Elephas maximus indicus: one gene and its partner. The protein of the gene in region 2 interacts with the protein of the main gene of each other region in a pairwise test. Links are inferred from orthologs where the notes say so. Each region holds a gene or a part of one and is shown on either strand. Other genes may lie near its edges.

Region 1 (9,539 bases), on a different chromosome or scaffold from region 2:
AAAATTCGGAGTAATTTGTTACACAGCAATAGTTAGATAATATACTCACTCACTTTTTTCAGGTCTCTGCTCAAATGTCACCTTATTAAAGTAGCCTGTGTAAACATCTTACATACAATGGCAACATCCCCAGCCCATCGCATCATTCTCTGTCGTCTTTATCCTGCTTTATTTTTCTCTACAGCACTTGTTACCACATATTAAAAACTTTTTTCTGTTCCCTGTCTGTCTCTCCCACTAGAACACAAACCCCATGAGGACAGGAACTTTTTGTTCACCACTGTAACCCCGGCACCTAGAACAACACCCAGCCCCTGATAGATGCTCAACAAATAAAGATTGCTAAAGGATTATTTGTGATCTCTATCTGACCTCTACAGGTATTATTACTGTTACTAGTAATAACTTATAATAATCTGCACAGATAATGTGAATAATAACAGCGGCTACCATTTATTGAATATATTATATGCCAAGCACTGTGCTAATAACCTTACATATTTGATCTCATTTAATCTTAAGTATTCTAGGGAGTCCCTAGGTGGCACAGATGGTTAAGAGCAGGGCTACTAACTGAAAGGTTGGCTGTTGAAACCCACCCAGAGGCACCTTGGAAGGCAGTCCTGGTGCTCTGAGTCCAAAAGGTCACAGCCATGAAAATCCTATAGAGCACAATTCTGCCCTGAAACACGTGGGGCCCCCTTTATTATAAATGGGCCATTTTCTGACCCAGCCAATCAACTCTTTGAACTAAGTCAGAGGCCCTCTTGGATAATGCCAACCTGGCAAGAGCAAGCTGGGGGCTTTCCTATTGGCCAAGGTAGGGAGGTCAGGGACCAGAGGGCCATAATGGTAACCTGACAAGAATAAGCTGGGGGCTGTCCTATTGGCCAAGGTAAGGTACCCCACCCTATGCTCCTCTCCTGGGGCCCAGGGGAAGGGAGGCTTCACTCACACTGGGATTCTTGTCCTCATCATACTTATCCATGTGGTAGGTCCTGTAGCCCTCCTGGGCTGAGTCCCAGAACCACTTAATGATACTGCCTCGAGAGGACAGGTAGGAGCTGCCAGAGGAGAATATGGCACTGGCATCGCCCACTGCATAGAGCTTCTGGTCTGGTTTTCTGGAGCATTCTCTTTCTGGACCATTGTCACAGCTACTTCCCAGGTCCTGTGTGGAGGCTGGGCCTGGACAGGCAGTAGATGCCCTGGATTCCTTCTGAGGGAGGGTGGACATCTGCAAAAAAGACAAAGGCACTCAATGAACAGGCCTCCTCAAGGACTTTCTACAGCACCAAACATTAGCAAAGAGTTGGAAGCCTCATAGACTCCCCCTTCCGTAGCTGCCCCCCTTTTTACGTTTATGTACTTAACACCTGTGCCCCTTACTATTTGTACCATGTGTGCAGACAATCATTTCAACAAGTAAAATCAGCTAAGGACCTATTATGTGCCAGGGGCTGTGCTTGCTACTTTTATATGACTTTAACTTATGGCTGCTTTAGCTTCCTTAACTATTGTGAAAGTTTTTCATTCTGTAATCTAAGGGGTCACCAACGTTCATTTTCCATTCTTGCAGCCTCGATTTCTATAGGTCAGGTTAAAATGTTCTGAGTTACAGCAGATCTTGGCCTGGGAGTTCTGGGGGTCTTGTGGGGACTGGTGTACATAAAGGGCAGGATGAGATTATCTGGTGGGCTGGAGCAAATGGTGGATAAGGACTGAGGAGAAGGAGGGGGTGGTGGGTGTCTGCAAGTGCAGGCACCCCAGGGAGAGCTCCAGGGCCCCCCCCTTCACTCTGGATGGAGGGAGGGAGAGCGAAGGCCAGACAAAAGAGAGGGGGGGTCTCATTCTGAGCAGATGCGAGCTCCTTCTCTATTGTAAGCCTGTTTTCCTCAGCTGCTTGGAGGGGGCAGAGGGTGGAGATAACCCTACCTCATACGAGAGTTGTGAAGACACAAATATGTGAGTTACCCTGAGTGACTGAATAGCTGGGCTGAGGGATGTGGGGACCATGGTCTCGGGGACCATCTAGCTCAACTGGCATAACATAGTTTATAAGGAAAACGTTCTACATTCTACTTTGGTGAGTAGCATTTGGGGTCTTAAGAGACCATAAGCAGCCATCTAAGATACTCCACTGGTTTCACCCCCTCTGGAGCAAGGGAGAAAGAAGAAAACTAAAGATATAAGGGAAAGATTAGTCCAAAGAACTAATGGACCACAACTACCCCAGCCTCCACCAGACTGAGTCCAGTACAAGTAGATGGTGCCCGGCTACCACCACCGACTGCTCTGACAGGAATCACAATAGATCCCTCCAGACAGAGCTGGAGAAAAATACAGAACAAAATTCTAACTCACAAAAAAAGACCAGGCTTATTGGGCCGACAGAGACTGAAGAAACCCAGAGAATATGGCCCCCGGACAGCCTTCTAGCTCAGTAATGAAGTCACTCCTGAGGTTCACCCTTCAGCCGAAGATTAGACAGGCCCATAAAACAAAACGGGACTAAAGGGGCACACCAGCCCTGGGGCAAGGACTAGAAGACAGGAGGGGACAGGAAAGCTGGTAATAGGGAACCTAAGATGGAGAAGGGAGAATGTTGACATGTCGTGGGGTTGTTAACCACTGTCGTAAAACAATGTGTACTAACTGCATAATGAGAAGTTAGTTTGTTCTGTAAACCTTTATCTAAAGTACAATTTTATATATATATGAGTTAAAATAGATAAAGCACTTACTTAGAAGAAATCCTGGCTCATGGTGAAAGTTCAATAAAATATGAGTTATTGTATTATAATTCCTCGCCAATTTTTTCAGTCCTAATGCACAACCCCCCACACACCAAAAGATGGGTGGACAGCCAGGGCACAGAAACCCTGGGGGTCTCCGCAGTTAAATTCTGCTCCAAGAAGTCTTCTCTGGGGTCATCCTCAAGTTGGCTGGGCTTGCTTTCCTGAGCACTCACCTTGTCCTTCCCGACAGCCTAGGTCTGAGGAAGGGGCAGAGAGGCCTGCCTGCACCATTGAGCAGGCCAGGGCACGGGCAGGAGGGCACAGGCTGGGCTTGGGGGACGCGGGGCTCCCAGCTCTGCACCTTACCTGGAGAAGGCCGACTCCCGTGGCCAGCGGGAAAGGTGGCGGCTGGGATGTCCACGGCCAGACATCCGTGCACTACTAGGCCTCCAAAGTCCACAAGCGGGAGCAGATACGACGTATAAACCCGCACCCACCCACCCACCCATCCACAAAAGCACACCCTGCAGGGTGGAGGCTGCCTGGGGAGAGATGATTCCAGGCTTCCTGAAGGAGGAAGCTGAGTTGGTGTCAGCAGCTTGAGACAAAAAACGGTGGAGACTTCTGCAAAGAATCCTGGAGTCTGCACAAAGGGAGGCCCGGTTGGCTTCCTGCTCTGCAAAGTCGGGGGTCACACTTACTCTGAAGAGTTGGCAGCAGATTGGATGCAGGCCCTCCGGAGATGTGTGCTAATGAAGTAGAGAAAACATATTTTCTTTAGCGTTTTAGTATTGAAGTAGAGAGAATATATTTTCTAATGTTTCAATATAACTGTATAAGCTAGTCTTTGAAACGTAATTACTTGCTCTGGAATCTGTCTCAGGAGAGTTTATTTAAAGAAAAATTAGGTCATCTATTTTTAATTGCTGATTCAACTGTGTTCCTCTCCCAGGGAAGAAATAACACAAAACCGAGCAGGCCGAACAAAGTCTAGATCCATCCTGTTACAGAAACCAGGATGGCATGAAGAGGCTTGGCAGGACTTCAATTATTGACCACTTAATCATCGTGTCTACCTCAAAGAAAAACCAGCATTCCCGAAAACCTCTAAACTCTGACTCTTCCCCTATAAAAACTCTCCAATTAGTCCTCCAGGTTTAGAAAGAATTTGAGAGCAATTTAACCCTCTCTGTCTCTTGAATACTGGTGTTCAATAAAGCCCTCCTACTGCTTGGAAAAAAAAAAAAATTTTTTTTTTTTTAACACTGCTTACCTCTTCCTGCCTCAGTACTGGCTTGGCGGCAGGCGGCACGAATCCGCAATTTGCTGGTAACTGTGTCGGTTTCCTCACCTGGAAACGCTCTAAGCCCGGGCGAGGACAGCGACCGAGCTTCGCCCAGGGACACAGCGACTCTGGGATCCCTGAGGCCGTCAGCGCCCAGGCCAAGTCCCCTGACTGTAAGTGCGCGGCTCGCTCCTTCCCACCCAGGCACTTCCGTGTGGCCTGCGCGCTGTGGAACGCAGATGTGACCACAGCACTGGGGCCCGCGACTCCCCAGCCCCGCCCCCAGCCCACCCGCCCCCTGGGCCAGGAGGAGGAGCCGGAGAAGCGGAAGGGACCCAGAGGCCGAGACCTCCCGAAGGGGCGGGTCGCCTGCTCCCACCTCCGCGCTCCGTAGCCTGATCGCCCCCGGCCTTCCAGGCCGGGGGTCCCGGGATGCCTGGCACGTGGGTCTCCCCGTTTTCCGGAGTCGGTTGGAGCCAAGGAAGCTTTTCTGCAAACTGCCTGGGTGCGGCCCATGGAAAAGCTTTACCAGATTAAGGAGAGAGCACCCTTAAAGTATCGTTCCTCTATGAAAGCTTTTCATCAGGGTTTGTGATTTCCCCTCTTTTTATTCAAGAAAATAGTTTTTGAATGTCTGCCATGGACTCTACATATTCTAGGACCTCAGCAATGAAGTAGAAAACCCAGGTCCGGGGGCCCACGTGCAAAGCTAAGTATCTCTGAGGCGCCTTCAGCAGAAAAAGTCGTCTTTCCCTATGTCGGGAAATATTCAGGATCCCTCAATATGGGTATGGCTGAGAAGATGTGGTCTTTTGACCGTTCCACTTTTTGTCTTTGCTTTATCTTTGTTGGGAGCCCTGGTGCTGTAGTGGTTAAGAAGCTTGGCTACTAACGAAAAGGTCAGCAGTTTGCACCCACCAGTTGCTCTTTGGAAACTGTATGGGGCAGTTCTACTCTGCTATTTTTACTGCAAAAGTGGGTTCCAGCCACCTGCTGCAAAGCCAATACTGAGACAGGAAGAGGTAAGTAGTAAGAAGGCTTTATTGAATACCAGTATTCAAGAGATCAAACCCAGTGCCATCAAGTCGATTCTGACTCATAGACCCAGTGCTGTCAAGTTGATCCCGACTCATAGCGACCCTATACCCGAACCTGTCTTAGAAGAAGTACAGCCGGAATGCTCCTTAGAAGCAAGGATGGCGAGACTGTGTCTTACATACTTTGGACATGTTGTCAGGAGGGATCTCCCTGGAGAAGGACATCATGCTTGGCAGAATACAGGGTCAGCGGAAAAGAGGAAGACCCTCAACAAGGTGGACTGACACGGTGGCTGCAACAATGAGCTCAAGCATAACAACGATTGTAAGGATGGCTCAGGACCAGGCAGTGTTTTGTTCTGTTGTGCACAGGGTCACTATGAGTTGGAACTGACTCAATGGCACCTAACAACAACAACATGGAATTTATTAGACATTGAATTAAAAAAAAAAAAAATCTAAATAAGGATCCAGGGGACTCCCTTTATCCCACTCCAGGTGCCCCCTAGGCCTTCCCAACCTCAGTAAAAACATCCATTTTGCCCCCCACACAATGGTTAGCAAAGACTAAAAAGATGCAAAGCTTCCAAAAGTGACAGATGTTTGACTCCGTTCAAAGAGGTCAGTGACTGGGCCAGATGAGACCATTTCTGGAGCAGCCCACTGTTTGCTCAGTCACAGTAGCAGTTCCATGTCTCAGCCCTCTGGACCAGCCGAGCATGTGGCTGGATGGGAGGCAGACAGCCTACTCCTGTGCATATCCTCTGGGAGCCCTGCTACCAACTCCTTCTTCTGTTCTTGTAGCGCTTCACAGAACCAATGCATGGCTAGAGGGTCCAAATGGAGACAGAGAGAAATACTTAGTAGATTGGCAGATGGGCTCCAGACATACCCGGGTCTTGGCAGTGATTCTACCTCTGCTGAACTTTAGCCCTCCCTTCTTTGGGATGGATTTTAAGTCCACCTGCCTCATCCCCAATGGTACTGTCACAGCAGCCTGCCAGACACCTCAAGTCTCATACCAAATCCTGTGCCCTGGCTTGTAGCCTTGGCCTCACCAAGTGTTCAATGCCTCTAGTGTCTTTTCAAAAGGAGCCCTGGTGGTGCAGTGATTAAGCTTCCAGCTGCTAACTAAAGGGCTGGTAGTTCGAATCCACCAGCAGCTCTGTGGGAGAAAAGAGGTGGCAGTCTGCTCCCATAAAGATTTACAGCCTTGGAAACCCTATGGGGAGTTCTACTCTGTCCTATAGGGTCACTATGAGTTGGAATTGACTCGATGACAATGTTGTCTCTTCACTCAATCTGTTCTCCACACTAGCCAGTAAGATATTGCTACAGCACCAAAGTCCGCCTTGTCTCATTCATTGCTGCATCCCCAGCAGGTAGAATAGCGCCTAGCATGAAGTATGAGGTGATACATACTTATTAAAATGGATGTGATGGTCTCTGAAATCTTCAGAGGAGTGTCTGAACTCCATAGCATAATATACAAAAGGAACTTCTATCATCTCCTCATTCATTCTCCCTACTAGACTGCACATCTACAAGGGCATAGTACAATTTCTTAGTGGATAGTCTCAATGCCTTGCTCAATGTCAGGCACAGAACAGATACCTGAAGGTATAATGAATGAGCAGGTGTGTATCTCAAGCACCTATCAGTTCCTGTTTACAAAGCGATTTAATTAAAGAGATGAAGATGGAAACAGGTAGAATAGAAGGACAAGATATGGGCTGCTAAAAGAAAAAGAAGGAAGATTCGGTAGGGGCAGATTAACCAGTAAGCATGGTAAAAAAAAAAAAACCCAGTGCTGTCGAATCAACTCCGACTCATGGCAAACCTTAAGGACAGAGTAAAACTGCCCCATAGAGTTTCCAAGGAGTGCCTGGCAGATTTGAACTGCCCACCCTTTGGTTAGCAGCTGTAGCACTTAAACATGGTAGTACTGGCTTAATTGTGTTTACTTACAAATCTATCATGAAAAATTTCACATGGGTTTCACCACATCTTATCATTCTGGGATTGGGTTATGGAGAAGTTGGTGGGGCATCTTTGAAGGAGCCAGGATTGGAAGGTCAACATCACTCACCCAGTTTCATCCGGCGGGGCTTATCTGCAAAGACAAGGCGGAACCAGCCTGGCTCCTTACACAAGTAGGACTTGCCACAGGACAATACCACCTTGTTATCCAGGAAGCGGTGGTGGAGGACTAGCTCGTTCTCAAATATACATGGGTCCAGGTACTAGGGAGGGCAGAGGACAGACCTTAGCCCAAAGTCCATTTGCAATTCTGCCCCAGAATGCCAGTTCTCATTCAGAGACCTCACCTTTTTCAAGTTGATCCCGATATAGAGGCCAGAGCCGTGATTGAGAAAGGGGATCTTCAAGGCCTTCAGTTTGTCTGTGATATACTTGTGAGCCTCCTGGAGCCGGGAGTGATTAGTGGGCAGGTACATTTTATCAATCCAATCTGTATGAATGGAGGAAGAGAGCCATCACAGTTCTTGTGTCAGAGATCTACCAAAAGGTTCCTTACCAAATGCTCCCTACCTGGTCTTCATGCCAACTCTTCTATCCAAGACTATCATATTTGAATTGATGGCATCCCTTTTTTTTTTTTTTATCAACATACCTATGTGTTTTTGGTATCCATACCAACACATTCACCTCTCATCTATGGCTTAGGTACAGACATTGGGTTTCTCGATAGTTTTTAATAGAAATTCTCTGTTTGCATTTACACCCCTGAGGCAAGGAAGAGGTAGAATGGAGGAGTATCTCCTAAAAGGGGTTGATGCTTCTGGTATCAACTGGGGAAGTAGCAGGTCCCCATATCTCCTGCCTTTGAGCCTCACACTATGGCCTTTGAGGAACCTAGACAGGCTCAATTGTCCTTGGTGTTAGAACCATCTGGAGTTTGATGCCTAAACTGTACCCTCAAGATTATCTACATCTTTTGGATGGGGCTCATGCATCAGTATTTAAGCTCCCCAGGTAATTCCCATGTGCTGCCAAGGTTGAGAACCAATGTTCTAGGGGCTGGGAAGCTGATTTCTGCCAAATATCAAAGGGTCTGGTGCCATGTAGGAAAGCATCAAATTAAATTTCTCCTATCTACCTCCTTCCCCACTCAAACCTGAAAGTAAACCGTTTAAGCGATCTTATTTTATTACATTAGTTTGTTTCATTATACCCTAGCTTTTTATGTAAGCCCTCCAACCTGGTATCTGTTCTATTACAGAGAATTAAAGAAAAGGGGTCTTATCTACATTTGGACCACAGTATTCAAGGGGGAAGTTCCCTCTAAGGCCAGCATTCACTTGAGATCCAGGGAGGAATGTGAATCCAAGTGCCATGAATCTAGCCACATCAACTCCCCCAGATGGCAGCTCCCCTTGGAAGATGAGGTTAAGCCGTATTAGAGGGTACAGGGAGTTTCTTTGTAATCTCTTCCTTAGAGAAGAGACATCTACATAGACTGATATCTCAACTTCCCACCTTCAGATCTTACAGTGCAATTGACTATCCCCTTTCCAGGCAGACTTTGAGCTACAAGACATCCAGAAGTTCAAGCCTACGCTGTGTTTCAGACCAGCACTTGCATCTTCCCACTGCACTATCTGAGCCGCATCCTACCCTCCTTCATACTTCATGTCCTGTAAGGCTAAGCCCGAGACAGTGAACAGGATCTTGGTGTATTGAGGGGATAACAGAAGCAGACCCGGGAATTCCGTGCGGCCAAGGGGTCCAGCCAAGATGCTGGCCTGGGATGGAGCTCAGTACCTCTGTCCTGGAGCAGCCGACACAGCTTATGCTGGGTGGTGCCAGAGATGCCATGGAGGCAGCCAAAGGAGCTCACAGCAGCAGCTACTTCCTTGCTGTGGGTGTATAAAGTACCAAAGCGGAAGCCAGAGATGCCAAAATCCTAGATGAAGAGTAGTAGGGGAGTGAACACCTGGTTTGTCTACCTTTTATTCCTGGCTCTCTTTCCTCCCCCACCCAAGGATTGACAGCTAGGGCTCACCTTACTGGTACCCCAGATCACATGGGTCCTGTTGGGATCAGGCAAACTGGAGAAGAGATAGTACAATCAAGGTTATGGAGAAATAGTTGAAGGATAAAGACTTGACATATATGAAGGGAATGGAGAAAGAGGACTTGAGGTCACTCCCAGACAGGTAGGCCAACAGGGCCCAACACTGCCCTAGTTAAGCCAGAAAGTCAACACAAGGTGTCTCTGAGGAACTAGATGGAACAGCTCCCAAGTGACCACTGAATGAAGTCTAGGACCCTCAGCCTGGCTCATGGCCCTTCTACAGCTGGTCCCAAACCACCTTCTTGGCATTTGGCTAGTCATATATGGCCACGCACCATTCCTAGAATGTCCTCGCCTATTTCTTACAGACTCACCTTTAATGCAGCTATTCCTTCTAGCAGTCATGCACTTCCCTTGATTTTCTTGCTGGAATCCTATCCAAG
Region 2 (8,959 bases):
CCTAGACCAGGGGACACTTACTGTCATCCCCTAAGAGGTCACCCAGGACATCATCAATGGAGCCTGCAACAGAGAAGGAGCTGTCATGATTTCAGGAGACAAGAAGAACGGCTCTCACAAGCCTCAACTCTTGCAAGCTCACCCCAGGGGTTCAGAGCTCTCAGATATTGGGTCTTAACACTTAGTTTTCCCTTCACTGCTCATGCTATATTCTAACCCCCTGGCAACGAGTCATGAAGCACTGGTGAAAGGCCTCAGGGTAGAAATTAAAAATAACTTTTTCAAAGAATGATGGTAAAGATTTTCAGTATAATCCACATTCTATGTGCCTCCCCCCATGAGACACTGGCCAATGCGCCATCCTCTAAACTCTGAACAAAGCCTGGTGTGGACCTTTGGGAAAAGTGTCCAAGACCTCTGGGCACATACAAGCTTCTGCCACACCAACAGCCTCCATGTATCCTTCCATCCGAGACCTCCCCAGCACTGGTCTGGACGCTCACCTCCTTGCCCACTTTCTGATGGGGGTAGAGCACGAGTACTGAGTTAGTACTTGTATCTAGCTTCAGGGTCTTTACCACTCTGAACTTCAAACACCTCCTTCTTTTTCTTCTTTTTTTTAATGAAGAATTATCTATACAAGTAACTAAGAAGCCTTGGTGGTGCAATAGTTAAGTGCTTGGCTTCTGAAGGAAAGGTTGACTGTTCAAACCCACGCAGTGGCTCCACAGTAGAAAGACCTGGTAATCTGCTTCCGTAAAGATTACAGCCAAGAAAACCTTATGGAGCAGTTCTGCTCCGTCATGCCAGGCAGAATAGAATCAACGGCACCTAACAACTACGTACATGGAACAAATTCAAAAGGCTGTATTAGGGGTGGTCAGGCCGCGGGTTTGAATATTTATATACTTTACATCCATTTCCACTAAAATACTGGAGCACAATTGACTGAGGAGGCGCAGTCTTCATCGTTTGCCCCCAGGAAACGGAGAAGGCACTCTATGGCACTGCCGGCACAGACTCTCAGGGGAGAGACGTGCAAACAGAAGGTGACCGCATGTTTAAAAGGCTTTAGTAGAACAGCTAGATTGTGCCTGAGGCTTTTCCCACTTTTCTGTGCTGTTAGCAACAGGCATGTTTATTGGGAGCTTTAAACTAGTGTTTAAAAGACAAACATGGTTTCAGCCACAGGACAGCGAACACATAAATGGACTGTGGGCTCCATATTATTCATCTTTAGAAATCCCACAGTCCAGTTTAAAAAAATAAACATTGGGAATTAATTGCAGGGAGATTTCTATATATTCTTTCTTATCAAGGAAACTACTTATGCGAAATATGTCATTCCATGAAAAGTAATTGGAATAAAGCTTCATATGACAGAGACGAAAAGGAGAATGCAGATATTTTTGATCGTATCCACCTCAGCACTGCTGTCTACTGGTTTATGGTTCAACCATCTACTTCTGGATACAGAACCCAACAAGAAGGATTTTCTCCAAAGTCCCATCCCTTAATTATTTCTGAATTACTCTGAGGGCCAATGAGCCAACATAAGGAGGGGTCCCCTAGAAAGACCAAGGCTGCCTATGGAATTATGGGAAAAACAACAAGACTCTCACCAAGAACATTTAGGTGTCGAATCAAAACCAAACCCACTGCCATCAAGTAGAACTGCCCCATAGGGCTTCTGAGGCTGTAAATCTTTACAGAAGCAGAATGCTACATCTTCCTCCCAGAAGTAGCTAGTGGGTTTGAACCATCAAACTGGTGGTTAGCAGCCAAGTGCTTTAATCGCTGCACCACTAGGGCTCCTTACATTTAAACGCAAACATGTTTAAATTCTTTTTGAAGCCATGGTGGTGGGGGTGGGGGAGGAATACACACACACATACTTGGCTTAAGGGTGATGTTCCATTTCTCTGCTTACCTTTTAATCCCTTCCTGGCTTTTGCTGCCTAAAATGGAAAAAGAAATCACATTAACAAAATCAAACAGTCAACAGTGTGTTGAAACAGAGGAAACCCAAGGCTGGGAATGCAGAATGAACTGTTTTGCCTTTTGTCATGTCACCAGAGAAAAAGGAGACCCAACGGCATTTAAGACAGAAGTCTGTTATGCTTGCCTAGAGTTTCTGAAAATGGACTCGTTCAGAACATGACAACAGTCCCCACTAGCCAGCAGGGGATGTCATCAGGTGGGCAGAAGTCTCTCCTTTTCCCTGACCTCCAGACGCCACACGAGTCCCCTTCCAGCCAGGATGTAACATACGTGATTGTTCATCTTTTCTTCCATTCCACAGACCTGACTCCTCGATCCTGACAGACGTTTAAAAACGCTTTCAGCTAGACATTCAGAGGCTCAGAAGAAACCTACTCGTTACTTAATGAGAAGTCTGATAGCCATGTTACTTTCCATTACTCTCCTCCAGGGACCACACCCTGGTCCTTGTCACCCACCTCCCAAATTACTGCATCTAGTCAAGATCTTGGGGGAGAAGAGGCCACGCTTCCATTCGTCTTACTCCGCATTCCACCTACCATCTCAAGGCTCTGGGTCTGCTTCACAGCACTGTCCAGCTCACTTGAATTCCATCTACATCAGGCTCCTCCTCACCTAGTGAAGAAAATTAAAGTGGTTGCTTAAAAATGCTGTGGCTGTAATAGTGCTCGAGTCCAAGGCCAGTCCAGGTTTTCCTCACTTTACCCATCCAAGAGATCAAAGCTTATTTACATAAATTACACATTTCTTATGGGGGGAGCAATTCAGATGAGAACCAGAGTGTTCTGGGTAACGTGATAGGTTTACTGAGGCCTACACTCAGATTACTCCATTAAAGTGCAGCGGTCCTCATCCCTTATTCTCGAAGAGGATGAGGGAAATGGCAGGTACGTATCATTTTGGAAAGGAGGTGGGTACGTGCCCATGGCCTACTGGCTTCCCAGGCAACACCCATGATTACTTTCTAGATAGCAATCCAGCACAAGGAGGAGCGGATGTGATCCCTGGCCATGGCTTCACACTACTTTCACTAACAATGGAATTTTTTCCCCCATTCACACTAACTGCAAGTCTCACTCACCTCATTAACAGAGAAGAGTCTTCCTCAGAATTATACCTCCTCACTTGCACTTGACCAAAACCAACCTCTGGCATGCCTTGGAAGGAAGGAGTCAGAGACGGTCATCACTATTTCTCAACTGTTTGTCTGCCCTGTTATGAGAATTCGAAGTTTATCTGGGGGGATGGACAAAGGCTACCCTGAGTGTTAGTGTCTGTAATAGCAATTTTCACGACCTACAATCCAAGCAGTTTGTCTCATAACATCAAGAAACTTCTGCCATCTCCCATCCAAAGGGAATCTGCCTCAGTTTCCCAAACCACAGAGATTTCCTAAGTGGTCTGCAAAGGCCAAAGGAGCGTTGGTGGCGCAGTGGTTAAAGCGCTTGGCTGCTAACTTAAAAGGTCAGCGGTTGGAACCCACCAGCGCTCCACGCTCCGCGGCAGAAAGATGTGGCAGTCTGCTTCCATAAAGGTTACAGCCTTGGAAACTCTATGGATTAGTTCTCTGTCCTACAGGGTCGCCATGCCTCGGAATCCACTCGACAGCAGTGGGTTTTCTGGGTTTTGCAAAAGCCAAAGAACCAGAGTGCCATCACGTCATCTCATCTACTCAGCCAGCCCCACGCCAGGCATTTTCAAATCCCGACCCCGCCCCTTGGCAAAGGCCCTGTCCGTTGAACCCCTTGGTTCCGGGACTCCGCGCCCAGCCATGCGCCACCCCTGCGCGCTCAGCCTACCTCGACCCAGAGCGCAGCCTCTATCCTCCCAGCCCCTGGAGCCCCCCGTTACGCGCCATTCTTTTCCGAGGCGCGGTCCTAGAGGACTGCCCCAGCCATAGCCGCAGGTCCACCTCCCCTGGAACCTGGCTCTGTCAGGCCTCCCGCCTCGGAGCCCGGTGAACACCAACCTCTGGCAGAAAGGCGAGTCGCGAGGCATCCTGGGAATTGTAGTCCGCGGGTCACTCATCTGCCGGAACCAAGGGAGCGGGAGCGCCAAGACAAACTACATTTCCCAGGGAGCCGCGCCGCGGCCGTTAGCCTGGGCCCAGCCTCTATTGGCGCCTCCGAGCGTTGCTAGGGGCTCCTTCGACGCCGCCTAGGGAAGAGCGACGCGGCCTGGGGGCCCCTTCGGCTTCTCTCTCCGCCCCTCCCTGGATGACTGTCAGGAACTGGGCTGGAAGACAGAACAGTTCAAGTTCTTCCGGCTCTCTTTCGAGGGCTAACTCCGATGGGTAGCGGGGCACGGCGGTGAGAAATAGGTTAAAATCGAAAGGTTCACCTGTGAAACCGTATTTATCCCACACCTAAAGCTTGATTTTTTTTTTTAAAGCTTGAGGGAGGCGGCTGTGACGTTCAATTTAACGAAATCCCCAATCTGCGAAACCAGAATGTAACCCAACACCCAACAAAGACACGTACACTTGTGTGCTAAATACAGATTTTATTAAGGGTTATTCAGTTTCACAAAAGGGGTTAGTCGTTGGCTTACCGCTGGCCAAGGAGTGCTAGCGGGTCATCGCTGTCGCCGGGATTCATACCCTCCGGCCGGGGCACCTCCTCGGAACTCCCAGCCCCGAAGGACATGTCCAGCCAGGGTTGGGTAAAAATACATCGTAAATGCAGGTTCTTCAGTAGGACCCATACTCAAACCACAACAGTGAAAGAAAAAATGTAGCAAAGCAATTACACGCTCCAAAGAACACAAGTAATTTCACGGAAACCATAGCAGTTGGAAGTGTTTACAAGTAGTTATCAGCAGTCTGAATATTGAAGATCACATATTACCGAAAATTTATGAAAACAGTATTGTAGCTTTTTATTTTGGTTCAGAATTCTTAAAATCGCTCTCCATTTAACTTCATCTTCCCAAGACAAAATGGCCCCTTTTTAGGGCAAAAACAAAACTAAAAAAACCCTTGGACTTCTAGGAACTTTCTGATCTGTGACAGCTCACATCCGATAATTCTAATGGTTCCTTAGAAGGCTGTTTACTTTCAGGGGCCACAGGAATAGGTACAGAAATTTTTAGTAGTTTTGGACAGCTAAAAGCACAACCCCAACAATATTTTAAAATGAAAATTAATTTCAAATAGTTATTTACAGTGTGGCTTGGTTTAACCATTCTACTCTGAGATTGTAGTAGTAAATGTTTAACTAGCTGAGATGGTCTCCCTGCGTTATTCCACAAAAATGATCAAAGCCTTTATCTGAGTCAGTAGACTCTAGGATGTTGGTCTCAGAACAAGCAAGTTCCTGACGCTGCTGCTCCCCAGCTGCAGCAGCAGCTCCTGCAGGAAGACACCCTGCAAGCCCACGTGTACCCTCCACATACAACAGGTGGTATAGACTATCTGCATCCAATTCACTTCCTTCCTAAGATGGATGGACAGCCTTCAGAAATGGGGGAGGGGTACTTTGAGGAAAGTAAGTTGTCTGAAGAATTATGGATTCCCCAGAATCATGAATTTAGAAACTAGTCGTATTTCTCCAGCCAAAGCCCCCAAGTGAGGAAAACTTAAGAGTTAAGATCTAACATATTAACTTTAGGAACTAACTATAAAGTGCCTTTAGGTATATGAAATCTGAAGTTACAGTGAGTTTTTAGAAAGCATTTGAACATAAAAATATTGCAATTAAGATGTTCTAAAGATAAGCTGGTACATATCAGTTACAATTTTTTTTTACTGTGCTTTAAGTGAAAGTTTGCAATTCAAGTCAGTTTCTCATAGAAAAGCTTATACACACATTGTTATGTGACCCTAGATGCTCTCCCTACAATGTGACAGCACATTGCTTCTCTCCCCTGTATTTTCTGAGTCCATTCAACCAGCTCCTGCCCCCCTTGGCCTTCTCACCTCGTCTCCAGACAAGAGCTGCCCACATAGTCTCCTGTGTCTACTTGAGCTAAGCAGCACACTCCTCACCAGTATCATCTTATGTTTCACAGGCCAGACTAATCTTTGAAGAGTTGGCTTTGAGAACGGTTTCAGTTTTGGGCTAACAGAGAGTCTGGCTGCCATGACCTCTGGGGTCCCTCCAGTCTCAGACCATTAAGTCTGGTCTTTTTTTAGTGGTACATTCCAAAGACAAGAACATTAAGGTCCCCAAAGGCTTTTGCAACAATGGTGCTTTGAGGTCACTCACGTCCCAACACTGAAACACACCTCAGTATGTACCTGGTAGAGCATAAGACCACGCTCCAAACACAGGATGATCAACCTTGAGCCATTACAGATAGAAAATCCAATTTTCAGCTTTTGTACGCTGCTAAGTACTCTTAAAAAAAAAAGGCTTATGTCAATATAATCTAAGAAAAGCTAATACAGAAAAATCTCATTAATTCTACTCAGCATTTACCATTTTGGAGAAAACTAGGTTGAAATTTGTTTGCACTTTTTGTGTGATGGTTCACCGAAGAGCTCGACCAAACCAGACTTACCCGCTGCTAAGGCTGGGGTGTTAGATCTTAACTCTTCCATTTTCCTCACTATGGGGCTCTGCCTGGAGAAAAACTGGATTGGCTGCTTCATTTCTCAGGACCCAAGGACTCCTAAACTCACCATGGCATCGCCCATTTACAGCAGCAACTACAGTGACGACGGCTGCTTTACAGCTACCTGTTCAGGCAAGCCCTCATTCCTTCTGGTTTTGGTCTTACTGCTACCTAAACCTAATAAGTCTGCATTTAAAAATTCTCCACAACGTAAACTTACATTTAATTACGTAGCACACTTCTTCTCTCTTAATAGGACAAATCAGTGAGATTTTACTGCATCTTTATTCGTTGATTACACTGAGGACAGTTCAAGACAAAACATTCCATTCTTAATGAAAACAGCGTTAAATGTCAGATTAGTTTTTAAGTAAAACCCAAGGTGTTGGTTGGACTGAAGGTGGCTGTCATGTCTACAGTTTCTTCAGACGTGCTAAGATCTTGGATGTATGCTGCTGGATGAGACAGTGTCGTTTCAAGCACCTTCAGATCCTGCCCACAGATATCCACCTGTGAACAAGGTATTTAACCACTAATTTTGAAATAATTCTACATTTAATAAGTCAATAGTAAACAATTTAAACTTACTTTCAGTTATTTCCCAGAATCTAAATTACTGTCAAGCAATGCCCAAATGAGATTAAGACAGAGTGCTTTCTACTTCAATCTTAACATGAAATTATCAATTAATTCTCCCGATGGAAAGATCAAGGCTTGTGTTAACACACAGTATTTCTGCTGTAACTGAAAGGTTTCATGTGACCAGATGCACTGGAATGGATTTTACATCAGGTCCCAGGATAATAGCGTGATGTGGCAGTCAAGAAATTACACTGCTACTGAATTACACTGTATTGTCAAGATTGATTCTAGAACAATCGGTTTTAAGAGGCAGATGTCAAAGATACAGTTTAACAGGTTAAGACAAATCAAATGACTTGTGTTGCTTTACACTGATTTTAAGGGGAAAAAATTCATTAAGAGGTACATGTTTAACCTTTATAGAATGATTGTGTCAATTACATTTCGACCAAAAGGACCTTTAGCAATTCAGATAAAGCTCCTAGAAACACACAGAAAACAAAGGCAGACATACAGTAAGAACCAGACTCTATGGCACCTCCATATACCCTTCAGCCGGAGTTTAAATGATTATATTTTCTAAACCAAAAACCAGAACATATGGTTTGGGAAGGATTGCTATGCTACTTCTGGGTGTAAGAGGTGCAATGCTTTTGTTTTTTTAATGCCCAATACTGTAGCCTTCAGGCATTTTAATAGCTTATGTCAAAATGACAGAATATTTGGAATCTGGATTGTCCCAGAAAACCCAAGTAATTAAGGTCACCAAAGTAACAGCAGTGCCTTAGGTGACAGCTCTTCCTACACTTATTCTATTAAAGAGGAACTGTGATTCCAGGACAACCGCCCCCAACCCCTCTTTAGTATCTCTTTCAAGAGGGAAAGCAGGAGGGAGGGAGAAATGAGGAGGTAGGGAAGGAGGGAAAGACAGCGAGATCTCAGTACCATTGAGTTCCCTCGGTTGCAAAAGTCACATGTAGGGATGACTTTGCTACCTCCTCCTTTTAAAGAAGATAGGGACAAAGGAAGTTGTGCTACTGAAGTGACAATTTAGGGATCCTTCGAACAGGAGGCCAATTCCTAATTACGAGAGACAATAGTCCTGCAGCAGACCTGTGCTGAAGAAGTTCTTGTGTTGGAAAAAATGCTATTATGCATAGTCAGATGGGAGCAATACACGGGCAAAGGAAGGCGAGCACGCAGAAAACTTGCCAAGCACAAACTCACAACATCAAGCTTCCTGATGAGTTAACTTTCCCCCAGTCCCATTTCCTCAGCCCTGCTTTCAGGCCAGGCCCCATGGTAGGTGTGGTGCGACAGTAGCAGGAAAGCCTGGAAGGTTCTATACCATTTGAAAAATACTTTTGCTTTAAAACATTTATATATCCCGTGATTAGTGATTAAAAACTGAAAATTAACTACTTAGTAGTTACATTCTACTAATTATCTACTGAGATCAGCAGCATTACAGAAGGAAGCCACACTGCATTTCTCAAAGCTTTGTCTGAATGCTTCATGGGTCTCTTCCAGTGGTAATTGCACTTAAAACACATCCATTTTTCATCGAATCTCTGAAATTTGTAAATGTCTTTTTTTTTTTTCGTTCATTCATTAAAAAAGGAAAGGGGTCAATTTATCATTTTCTCTATAGCTGTTTGAATTCCATGAAGATCCCACGCCAGATGTGTGTGTGTCAGGTATGAAGGACGCCTCCTGGAGCAGATCAAACTCATTATCACAGCATTCCAGACTTAGAGCTTGGACTGCAGCGGCTTCAGGTGCTTGTAGTAAGATTCATGGACCTGCAGAGAAGGGGAGGAGA

The links.
Region 1: the proteins of FBF1 (region 2) and ACCS interact in a two-hybrid assay, tested with the Homo sapiens proteins (2 studies listed by BioGRID and IntAct). The two-hybrid records come from large-scale screens. The link is inferred for Elephas maximus indicus from reciprocal best matches to the Homo sapiens genes FBF1 and ACCS.

The regions. Positions count from the first base shown.
Region 1 is NC_064825.1:99,411,608-99,421,146, reverse strand, and holds the start of ACCS (1-aminocyclopropane-1-carboxylate synthase-like protein 1), read right to left. Parts: upstream 4,276-9,539; 5' UTR 4,012-4,275; intron 3,488-4,011; 5' UTR 3,440-3,487; intron 1,238-3,439; coding exon 956-1,237; intron 1-955. UniProt on the Homo sapiens protein: Does not catalyze the synthesis of 1-aminocyclopropane-1-carboxylate but is capable of catalyzing the deamination of L-vinylglycine.
Region 2 is NC_064837.1:66,176,732-66,185,690, forward strand, and holds the start of FBF1 (fas-binding factor 1), read right to left. Parts: upstream 3,992-8,959; 5' UTR 3,971-3,991; intron 3,962-3,970; exon of another isoform or gene 3,801-3,961; intron 3,621-3,800; exon of another isoform or gene 3,485-3,620; intron 3,214-3,484; exon of another isoform or gene 3,159-3,213; 5' UTR 3,083-3,158; intron 2,617-3,082; 5' UTR 2,544-2,616; coding exon 2,541-2,543; intron 1,959-2,540; coding exon 1,931-1,958; intron 64-1,930; coding exon 22-63; intron 1-21. Other genes in the region: ACOX1 (peroxisomal acyl-coenzyme A oxidase 1), read right to left, coding at 8,889-8,939. UniProt on the Homo sapiens protein: Keratin-binding protein required for epithelial cell polarization. Involved in apical junction complex (AJC) assembly via its interaction with PARD3. Required for ciliogenesis.